2 linked regions of the Macaca fascicularis genome follow. The protein of the gene in region 2 purifies or fractionates together with the protein of the main gene of each other region. This does not show direct contact. Links are inferred from orthologs where the notes say so. Each region holds a gene or a part of one and is shown on either strand. Other genes may lie near its edges.

Region 1 (5,603 bases), on a different chromosome or scaffold from region 2:
GCGGCAGGAGCCAAGCTCCTCCAACCACAAGGGGGGCGGGGGGCGGTGAATCACCTCTGAGGCCTGGGCCCAGGGTTCAGGGGAACCTTCCAAGGTGTCTGGTTGCCCTGCCTCTGGCCCCAGAACAGAAAGGGAGCCTCACGCTGGCTCACACAAAACAGCTGACACTGACTAAGGAACTGCAGCATTTGCACAGGGGGGGGGTGTCCTCCTTCCTAGAGGCCCTGGGGGCCAGGCTGACTTGGGGGGCAGACTTGACACTAGGCCCCACTCACTCAGATGTCCTGAAATTCCACCATGGGGGTCACCCTGGGGGGTTAGGGACCTATTTTTAACACTAGGGGGCTGGCCCACTAGGAGGGCTGGCCCTAAGATACCGACCCCCCCAACTCCCTAAAGAGGGGAGGAGATATTTATTTTGGGGAGAGTTTGGAGGGGAGGGAGAATTTATTAATAAAAGAATCTTTAACTTTAAATGGTTTGGAGAGGCAGTGATCCCCGACTGACTCCCCTGAGCTGGAGGGAGGGAGTGAGTCAGCCAGCCGCGGGGGCGGGGGTGAGGCTCTGACTCACACATTCTCAATGCCTGGAACTCAGCCGGCCAGGACCTGGCTGGCCCTAACAGTTTTCCAGGGAAGATCTTGAGGAGAAACCCCAGCATCCCGCACCTCTGCCCTCTCCACCATCCCCAAAAGCCCCAGGTTCTAGACTGAAGCCTTCCTTTGCTCAGCAATCTTTATTCAGTTCTTCTTGGGGGTGGGATGCCTCCCTTCCCATGCTCCCACCCCTCCCATCCCAGAGCTCCGTTGGGCTCAGTGTCCTCTGTTGAGGGAAGGTCTTGGTGCCCAGATGCCTGGTCTGCAGGAGAGGGAGGAACCTTGTCCCTTTGCAGGAGTCGCTGGTCTCTTCTGTTGTGGGGAAGAAGGAAGGTGGGAGGGGCAGTCCACCAGCACTCAGAGCTCCGTTATGTCTCCAGCTGGGGTTGCAGGGTAGGGGGGACTGGGGGTGTCCCCCAGCCTCAGCAGACGGAGGGCCTCGGGGATGAGGCTGCCAGGGTAGCGCCAGAGAAGCAGCTCAGAGCAAGGGCTTCTAGAAGAAGAAATGACTGTCAGGGCATGGGGCTAAGGCTGGCCTAGCTGAGCACCTCCCACCAGGTCCAGGTCCCCAGGGACTCCTGGGTTCCCAGCACTTTCCGAAGAGCGAAGATGAGAAACAACCCAGAGGTCAGCTAGAGCTAAAAATGGCACGATGAGGCAGGGCCTGAGGTCAGCTGCGAGGACCGCCTGTGATTCTGCAGAAGGCCTGGCCAGTGGAGGAGCCTACCTGAGTGGGGGCAGGGCTTGGGGGAAGGCCATGGGGGGGCTGCAGTAGGGGTGGTCATTGTGCAGGCTGAGTTGAGAGAAGTGGGTGGCCATGTTCTCCTCAGACAGAAAATGCTTGCGCAGAGGCTCCCTGGGGAGAGATGGGAGAGAGGCAGGCTGGGATATTGAGACAGGAGGCAGCCTGTTGGGGACCAGAGGTGACAGAGCTCTCGTTGGGAGTCCCTCCCTGCCCCCAAACTCACTGCTCCTCCTCCAGGCGCCGCTTGGTGCTCATGGGCACAGCTCCTCGGAGAGGGGAGCTGGGGAAAAAAGAGAGCCTGGTGCACCCCACCCTCTTGGCCCCTTCCCAAGGATATGCCTGCCTGAGCCTGCAGCATCAGCCAGGAGCCCCAAGCCCATTACTGTCTCAGCTGGTGCTGGTCCCCCCTCTCCTGGGCCATCCAGCAGCGTACTTCGGAAGTCTGGACCCTGAACTGCAGCCCCAATACCATCTCAGCTCACGCCTAAGCCCCACCGATTCGCCCCACCCCGTGTTCATCCTGCAGACCAGCCCTGAGCACCCAGCCAAAGCTCCTGCGGCCCTTGGTCAGGCCCACCCTGGTCCCCCACACGCACCTGGCGTCCAGGCCCCGAGTCACCCCCAAGGCGGCCCGCGGGAGGCGCTGGGCCCCACCCTGGGGGCCTCGCTCCAAGGGCTGCTGAAGGATCATTGGGTTTTGGGGTCCTGCGGGTGGGATCTGGGCGACAGGGGAGGAGTCTCTGAGGGCGTGGCCCAGCGAGGATGGGCGTGGCTTTAGGCGGGCACAGCGGCGAGGTTCTGCGCGGGCGCCGAAGAAGGGCGGCGCGTGGCGGAAGGCAGGCTTGCTCCTCGGGGTGGGGGAGGGTATCCGGCTTAGCGGGGCTGCGGTGGACACCACTTCTTAATGTCGGGGGTCTTCGCGGCGCTCACCTCGGCTCCTGGGGTTCAGGACGGTACGCAGCAGCCCCCTTCGCGCCGAAGGCAGTAGGGCGCCACGGAGAGGAACCGCTGTAGGCACGTAAGGCCTCGTGAAGTTGCGTCGCACGCGAAGCACTCTGGGACTTGTAGTTCTGGAGATGGAGCGAGCTGTGCCGCTCGCGGTACCGCTGGGTCAGGTGAGACGGACGTGGGGCGCGTTGCCTTCTGGGATTTGTAGTCCATTCATGGCTGGGACGGGGCGGGCAGGGAATTGTGCCCTTTGAGTCCTATTTTGCCTGGGCTATTTGTGGAACTCAGACGCTGACCGGGGGGCGGGAGAGTAACCCAGAAGTGCCTCAGGGGCTTAACGCAAGTCAGAGAGTAGGGATTATAAATCAGTACGTTTTTCTATGTTGGGGTAGTAGAGCCACCCCTATTTTTTTTTTTAATTTTCTAGTTCCTGCAAAGCACTTTTTTTTTTTTTGAGACGGAGTCTCACTCTGTCAACTAGGCTAGAGTGTAGTGGCACGATCTCAGCTCACTGCAACTTCCGCCTCCTGGGTTCAAGCGATTCTCCTGCCTCAGTTTCCTGAGTAGCTGGGACTACAGGCGTGTGCCACCATGCCCAGCTAATTTTGTGTTTTTAGTAGATACAGGGTTTCACCGTGTTGACCAGGCTGGTCTCGAACTCCTGACCTCAGGTGATCCTCCCGCCTCAGCCTCCCAAAGTGCTGGGATTACAGGTGTGAGTCACCATGCCTGGCCACATTTTTTTTTTTTTTTTTTGAGACAGAGTCTTGCTCTGTGCCCCAGGCTGGAGTGCAGTGGCGCGATCTCGGCTCACTGCAAGCTCCACTCCCCCGGGTTCACGCCATTCTCCTGCCTCAGCCTCCCGAGTAGCTGGGACTACAGGCGCCCACCACCTCGCCCGGCTAATTTTCTTGTATTTTTAGTAGAGACGGGGTTTCACCGTGTTAGCCAGGATGGTCTCGATCTCCTGACCTCGTGATCCGCCCGTCTCGGCCTCCCAAAGTGCTGGGATTACAGGCTTGAGCCACCGCGCCCGGCCATTTTTTTTTTTGAGATGAAGTTTCACTCTTGTTGCCCAGGCTGGAGTGCAATGGCTCCATCTTGGTTCACCACAGCCTCCGCCTCCCAGATTCAAGCAGTTCTCCTGCCTCAGTCTCCCAAGTAGCTGAGATTACAGGCATGCGCCACCACTCCCAGCTCATTTTGTATTTTTATTTTTTTTTATTTTTTTTATTTTTTTTATTTTTTATTTATTTTTTTTTTTTTTTGAGACGGAGTCTCGCTGTGTCTCCCAGGCTGGAGTGCAGTGGCGTGATCTCGGCTCACTGCAAGCTCCGCCTCCCGGGTTCACGCCATTCTCCCGCCTCAGCCTCCCAAGTAGCTGAGACTACAGGCGCCCGCCACCACGCCCGGCTAGTTTTTTGTATTTTTAGTAGAGACGGGGTTTCACCATGTTAGCCAGGATAGTCTCGATCTCCTGACCTCGTGATCCACCCGCCTCGGCCTCCCAAAGTGCTGGGATTACAGGCTTGAGCCACCGCGCCCGGCCTCATTTTGTATTTTTAGTAGAGATGGGTTTCTCCATGTTGGTCAGGCTGGTCTGGAACTCCAGACCTCAGGTGATCCGCCCACCTCGGCCTCCCAAAGTGCTGGGATTACAGGCGTGAGCCACTGCGCCCGGCCCCACATTTTTAAATTTTTTGTTGAGACGGAGTCTCACTATTTTGACCAGGCTGCTCTCGAACTCCTGGCCTCCCCAAGCAGTGGATGACAGGCATGAGCCACCACACCCGGCTTCAGCACTGAGTGACAGCCCCATGGAAAGCTCTTGTCTATACACTAGCTCATCTAATGGTGATGGAATCTTCTGTGAGCTCCACTTGACAGTTGAGGAAGCTGGTAGGAGAGTGCTGGGTGCTTGCTCAGAGGTCCCTGAGGCATCACCTCGACTCGCCCCTTCTTCAGTGTCTTCTTGGAGCCGCCCATGGGACTGCATGGGCAAGTGCTGGCTTGGGGCCGGGCCGCCTCAAAAGAGGGCTGAGAAGTCAGGACAGTGGGAAGCCTGGCAGGTGTTGGGGGAAGCAGGAAGGAGTCTGTGGCTGGGAGGTTTCATACATCCCAGGCAGGCCTCATCCAGTTCTTCCCTGCAGACAGAGGTGTTCCAGGCCTTGCAGCGGCTCCATATGACCATCTTCTCCCAGAGTGTCTCACCGTGTGGGAAGTTTCTGGCGGCTGGCAACAATTATGGGCAGATTGCCATCTTCAGGTACCCTCTGCCGCTGTCCACCCATTAGCCCTGGCACTTGGCCCTCATGGGACGGATGTCCCTGTTTCTGACTCCTGGGTCCCCTCCGCTGTCCCCTGCAGCTTGTCCGCTGCTTTGAGCTCCGAAGCCAAAGAGGAAAGTAAGAAGCCGGTGGTGACTTTCCAAGGTGGGTATAGCTGTGGAGTCTGGCTTCGGGACTTTGGGTGGAATTGGTCAACTCAGTTCTGCATTTCTCTTTAGCCCATGATGGGCCTGTCTATAGCATGGTCTCCACCGATCGACATCTGCTTAGTGCTGGGGATGGGGAGGTGAAGGCCTGGCTTTGGGCGGAGATGCTCAAGAAGGTAAGGAGTTGAGCTCGGGAAAGGGCTGGGGTGCCGGGACCCAGAGAGAGCCTTTGAGGTCAACTGGTATTTTCCCTTTTGAAGGGGTGTAAGGAGCTGTGGCATCGGCAGCCTCCATACAGGTGAGCCAGGGCCACATGGATAGAGGGGGCATCGGGGTGAAGTGACTTCCTCACTGACCCTGCCTTTCCTTCCCCAGGACCAGCCTGGAAGTGCCCGAGATCAATGCTCTGCTGCTGGTCCCCAAGGTCTGAGCCCCATGTGACTGTTCTTGTCCAAACTTTGATCCTTCACCCTCTGCCTACCCTGATTTGACATTGACTTCCTGCCTCACCCTGCTCCCTCCACAGGAGAACTCTCTCATCCTGGCTGGGGGAGACTGTCAGTTGCACACTATGGACCTTGAAACTGGGACTTTCACGGTGAGCAGGGTCTTGGAGCCCTAGAGCAGGTCCAGGCCAGGGAGAGGCACTCTTCCTAGGTCTCCTCCTGATATCGCCCCTCTACATGCAGCGGGTCCTCCGGGGCCACACAGACTACATCCATTGCCTGGCACTGCGGGAAAGGAGCCCAGAGGTGCTGTCAGGTGGCGAGGACGGAGCTGTTCGACTTTGGGGTAAGGAGGTGGCTGGCTGGAGGGCAAGATGGCAGTGAAGGAGGCTGAGGTGAATGGGGCACCACTCACAGTTCTTTCCCCGCAGACC
Region 2 (5,052 bases):
CCGCCACCTCGCCCGGCTAGTTTTTTGTATTTTTTTTTTTTTTTTTTTGAGACGGAGTCTCGCTCTGTCGCCCAGGCTGGAGTGCAGTGGCCTGATCTCAGCTCACTGCAAGCTCCGCCTCCCGGGTTCACGCCATTCTCCTGCCTCAGCCTCCCGAGTAGCTGGGACTACAGGCGCCCGCCACCTCGCCCGGCTAGTTTTTTGTAGTTTTAGTAGAGACGGGGTTTCACTGTGTTCACCAGGATGGTCTCGATCTCCTGACCTCGTGATCCACCCGTCTCGGCCTCCCAAAGTGCTGGGATTACAGTTTTTTGTATTTTTTAGTAGAGACGGGGTTTCACCGTATTAGCTAGGATGGTCTCGATCTCCTGACCTTGTGATCTGCCTATCTCGGCCTCCCAAAGTGCTGGGATTACAGGCTTGAGCCACCGTGCCCGGCTCTCTAGCTTTCACCGTTAGACCTTCTGAGGGTGCACCAGGCTCTTGTCCTTTAAGTTCGCGTGGATATAACGATTCACCTTGAAATCTCAGAATAGTACTCATGCTTCTACAAAAGAGAAAATAGTTTTATTGAGAAATACTTTGAAGTGTTATCTAATTGGTAAAATGAAGAAACAGCAAGTAATGGCATACTTCCTAATGGATTATGTACTATTGTTAAAAATATTAGCATGTATTCATTTAAAAAATATTTCCTGAGTACCTATTGTATACCGTATTCTAAGTGCTAGGGATATAGCTTCAAGTCAAACAAAGTCCTGGCCCTCTTGGAGCCTGCACTCTAGTGGGGAGTACAGAGGATACACTGATGCACAGATACCTTACACTGTGTCAGGTGGCGATGAGTGCTGTGAAAACTAAAGAGTAGGGGATAGAGAATGATGGAGACTGTTCTTTTAGACAAGGTGGGCAGGGGAAACCTCTGAGTTAGAAATTCTACAGAGGAACTAGTGCTGTAATGCTTGCAAGTATTAAAGGTAGAATGCTTTTCTTGATGGTAGCTTTACTACTGAATAAATATCAAAAGGACTTTAATTTTTATATTAAAAATACTCTTCTTTCTTAAGTTGGACACGTTGTCTCAGGTAGAAGAGGAGTCTTTGTTAAGAAACGATCTTCGTCCAGCTAACAAACTTGCTAAAGGAAACAGGTTATTCATGAGATTTGCTACAAAAGGTAAATATGATATTTGGTATTGTTTCGTATTTTCAATCAAAATGAGTTATTATGGAATGACATCCTTCTTTTTTGGATAGAAGTTAGATCAAGTAATCTCAAAGTTCCTTTTGAACTATAATATTCTGTGCTTATGAAATAATTGTTTGCCACCTGAGTTGGAATTTCTGATTTTAAAAGTGAATATTAACTATTTGTATATTTCTGTGACTTCTGGCTAAAGTGAGTTATTTTCTGTTAAAACTGGTTTGCCCCATATGTTTTCAGCCAGTTACCATCTGAATTATGAAAACTTTAAAATGAAACTTTATTTATTACAGCAACATCCTCCTGAACATTGCCAATGTACCATTCAGTTCTAATTCCCTTCTCATAAGACTGTTTACACACAGTGACTTTTGGTGGGCATTTAAAATGTGTATGTGTATATATGCATACACATATACACATATTGGTTTTTTCAATCATTTGAGAGTTAATTGAAGACAAAAGCCATCACCCCTAAATGTGTTCCAAAGAACAAGAACATTGTCTTATACATAGCACACTTATCAAAATCAAGAAATTTAACATTAATACAGTACTGTTACCTAATCCATAGTCGATATTCAAATTTTGTCAGTTGTTCCAATAATGTCCTTTATATATTCCCCGCCCAGCCCCCAGGTCTAGGATCCATCCAGGACTGAGTGTGTAAGTATGTAATGTTTCCTTAGTCCCCCTTAAGCTGGAACTACTTCTATCCTCCCATGTTTTCCAAGAGTATAGGTTTACTATTGTATAGAATGTCCCTCAGTTTGGGTTTGTCTGATGATTCCTCGTGGTTGAATTTGGGTTGTGCATTTCAGACAGTCGTGCCACAGAAGCAATGTCATGTCATTTCAAGGCATCACGTCAGGAGGCCTGGGATACTTACTCGTCCCAGTCCTAGGGGCGTTCACTTTATTCACTTGGTTAAGATAATCATCACTAGGTTTTTCCACTGTAAAGTTACTATTTTTCCATTTGTAATTTAAAAATTGGTGGGCTGGCCAGATACAGTGGCGCATGCCTGTAATTGCAACACTTTGGGAGGCTGAGGCAGGAGGATCATTTGAGCCCAGGAGTTCGAGACCAGGCTGGGCAACATAGCAAGACCTCATCCCTATTTTTAAAAATTAAAAAATGAATAAAATAAAAAATTGGTGGGCAGATACTTTGAAATCATGTAAATAGCTGTTGCTCATCGGAGCTTCATGCAGTAGCTTTAGTATCTGTTGATGCCTTTCTGACTGTATCATTTCTTTACTAGTAGACAGGTGCTCTACGGAAGAGCTTTCTGTTTTTACGTATTTGTTTGTTTATTTACCTCAGTTTAGAATCCTGGCTTCTTTATTCAGTGGGTTATCATCCAATAATATCAGTATTTTATTTTATTTATTTTTTTGTTTGTTTTGAGATGGAGTCTCGCTCTGTTGCCAGGCCAGAGTGCAGTGGCGCGATCTCAGCTCACTGCAAGCTCCACCTCCCAGGTTCATGCCATTCTCCTGCCTCAGCCTCCCGAGTAGCTGGGACTACAGGCGCCTGCCACCATGCCCAGCTAATTTTTTGTATTTTTAGTAGAGATGGGGTTTCACTGTGTTAGCCAGGGTGGTCTGGATTTCCTGACCTCGTGATCCACCCACCTCGGCCTCCCAAAGTGCTGGGATTATAGGCTTGAGCCACCGCGCCCGGCCTCGATCTCTTGACCTTGTGATCCGCCTGCCTCGGCCTCCCAAAGTGCTGGGATTACAGGTGTGAGCCACCGCGCCCGGCCTGATATCAGTATTTTAATTTACAAATTGTCTTGGATTTGGCCGGTAGAACCCCTTTCTTTCTTTATGGCACAGCAAAACATCTTGCTTTTCCAGACTCATTTTGCATCTTACCTGCTCCACATGTGGAATCAGCCATTTCTCCAAGGAGCTGGTGGGCATGGTTTGAGGGGTTTGGGGGTTGGGGGCTCTACATGCTGGTTTGTGTTGTCACGTTTACCTGCAGCACTGGATATATTTACAGTGGTGTTTGTTCTTTACAGTCAGAGTGTCCAAGAACTGTAGAAGGCCTTTGTATTACTGCTTTGGACAAAAATTTATGATGACTGACCACCTTTCTTTCCTGTTAACTGACATTTCAACTTGACATATGTGATCTTTACCACATTTACTCATTTAAGTGGCTGTTTGAGTACATTCTACATGTACAGTACTATGCTGTTTTTTTAAGCCATTCTGAGGAACACAATAAGCTGGAAAAAATGATTTACCAAATACATGGAATTGTATATAGTCTGTTTCCTTAATCCTGATTCTGTGTTGTTGGCATGTTATTCCAAAGTGAATATCATCTTTCATGGGGTGGCAAAAATGCCACCATTTTGAGAAAGCCTTTTTGATTCCTGAGTACCTGTAATGACCTAAAGCTCTTTTATGCCTCTTGGAACCTTGTATCTTGTATTGTTTATTTTTGTTTTCTCCATTAAGTCATTTGGCTCCAAAACAGCAGTTTTAACCTTGTTCATCTCTGTATTTTGCTTTGTCCCCTCTACACTGCATTGCTGTAGTGGGCACTCAGAGTGTGAATGTTGGTAGTGGATTTTTACTTTTTGTTGGCAATTTGCGCTGATCTGATTCCAGCTATGGAAAACATTTAAAAAAAAATTCAACATTGTCTTCGTACTCTCGGGAAATCCTAGGTGATTATTGTCATTCATTTGTAGATGACAAAAAGGAGCTTGGAGCAGCCAGAAGAAGTCAGTATTACATGAAATATGGGAATCCAAATTACGGAGGCATGAAAGGAATTCTTAGCAATTCATGGTAAGCCCAAAACCGTCAAATGCAATAGTATTTAAGTTTTTCTTAATCCTTCAGTTGGCATTCTGTGGTGAAATGTCTAAACCCTGTGTAGACTGGGAGGAAGACAAGAGGGAAGAATTCAAGATTCTTAAATGTGGTAAATGATGGGGAATGCTGAGTTTTAGTTAGTTACATTTAAAATATCTGTGTTAGTACCTAACATTGTGTCAACATGTAGTTGAAATGAATTAGTGAGGCCGGACGCGGTGGCTCATGCCTGTAATCCCAGCACTTTGGGAGGACGAGGCGAGCAGATCACCTGAGGTTAGGAGTTTGAGACCAGCCTGGCCAACATGGTGAAACCCCATCTCTACTAAAAATACAAAAATTAGTCTTGCATGGTAGTGGGCGCCTGTAATGCCACCTACTCAGGAGGCTGAGGCAGGAGAATTGCTTGAACCCAAGAGGCGAAGGTTGCAGTGATCTGAGACGGTGCCTTTGCACTTCAGCCTGTGAGACAGATCAAGACTCCATCACAAAAAAAAAAAAAAAAAAAAAAGAAATAGTGGATTTCAAGGTCCTTCCTATTAGTTTTTGATTGTGTGCTTATTTTGGCATTCTTGCAGGAAGCGAAGATATCATTCCCGTCGTATTCAGCGGGACGTGATCAAGAAGAGAGCCCTGATTGGGGATGACGTTGGCTTGACGTCGTATAAACATCGGCATTCTGGTAGTTGCCTGCTCAGCTCTTGGGTAGACACATGTTTGGCTCCTGAAATCATATTTTTATTCTTAATGCAATCTTTTAAGGTTCCAAACTTTATCATCCTCTCTTCCTTGCCCTCACCCTCTGCCAACATATAGGAAAGTAAGTCAAGTCACAATTAATTTTAAGTTGCCCAAAGAGGTCAAATGATTTTGTAAAAGCTGTTCTATCAAAAAAGGCAAAATGTGACATAGGAAAAATTAAAACATAACTTTCCTTAAGATCCTAATTTTTCTACTATTAATATCAGCAGCTGCATGAAAACAATTTTTTTTTTTTAAGATGGAGTCTCGC

Evidence for each region. The genes of interacting proteins can lie anywhere in the genome.
Region 1: the proteins of NCBP3 (region 2) and THOC6 purify together in Homo sapiens (co-immunoprecipitation; 3 studies listed by BioGRID and IntAct, with this or other methods). This does not show direct contact. The link is inferred for Macaca fascicularis from reciprocal best matches to the Homo sapiens genes NCBP3 and THOC6.

Annotation. Positions count from the first base shown.
Region 1 is NC_088394.1:3,819,698-3,825,300, forward strand, and holds the start of THOC6 (THO complex subunit 6), read left to right. Parts: upstream 1-2,133; 5' UTR 2,134-2,417; coding exon 2,418-2,456; intron 2,457-4,021; exon of another isoform or gene 4,022-4,291; intron 4,292-4,439; coding exon 4,440-4,555; intron 4,556-4,656; coding exon 4,657-4,721; intron 4,722-4,795; coding exon 4,796-4,899; intron 4,900-4,983; coding exon 4,984-5,021; intron 5,022-5,098; coding exon 5,099-5,147; intron 5,148-5,249; coding exon 5,250-5,321; intron 5,322-5,412; coding exon 5,413-5,515; intron 5,516-5,600; coding exon 5,601-5,603. Other genes in the region: HCFC1R1 (host cell factor C1 regulator 1), read right to left, coding at 954-1,089, 1,324-1,452, 1,565-1,621, 1,938-2,032. UniProt on the Homo sapiens protein: Component of the THO subcomplex of the TREX complex which is thought to couple mRNA transcription, processing and nuclear export, and which specifically associates with spliced mRNA and not with unspliced pre-mRNA.
Region 2 is NC_088390.1:3,868,101-3,873,152, reverse strand, and holds part of NCBP3 (nuclear cap-binding protein subunit 3), read left to right. Parts: intron 1-1,067; coding exon 1,068-1,176; intron 1,177-3,913; coding exon 3,914-4,013; intron 4,014-4,618; coding exon 4,619-4,722; intron 4,723-5,052. UniProt on the Homo sapiens protein: Associates with NCBP1/CBP80 to form an alternative cap-binding complex (CBC) which plays a key role in mRNA export. NCBP3 serves as adapter protein linking the capped RNAs (m7GpppG-capped RNA) to NCBP1/CBP80.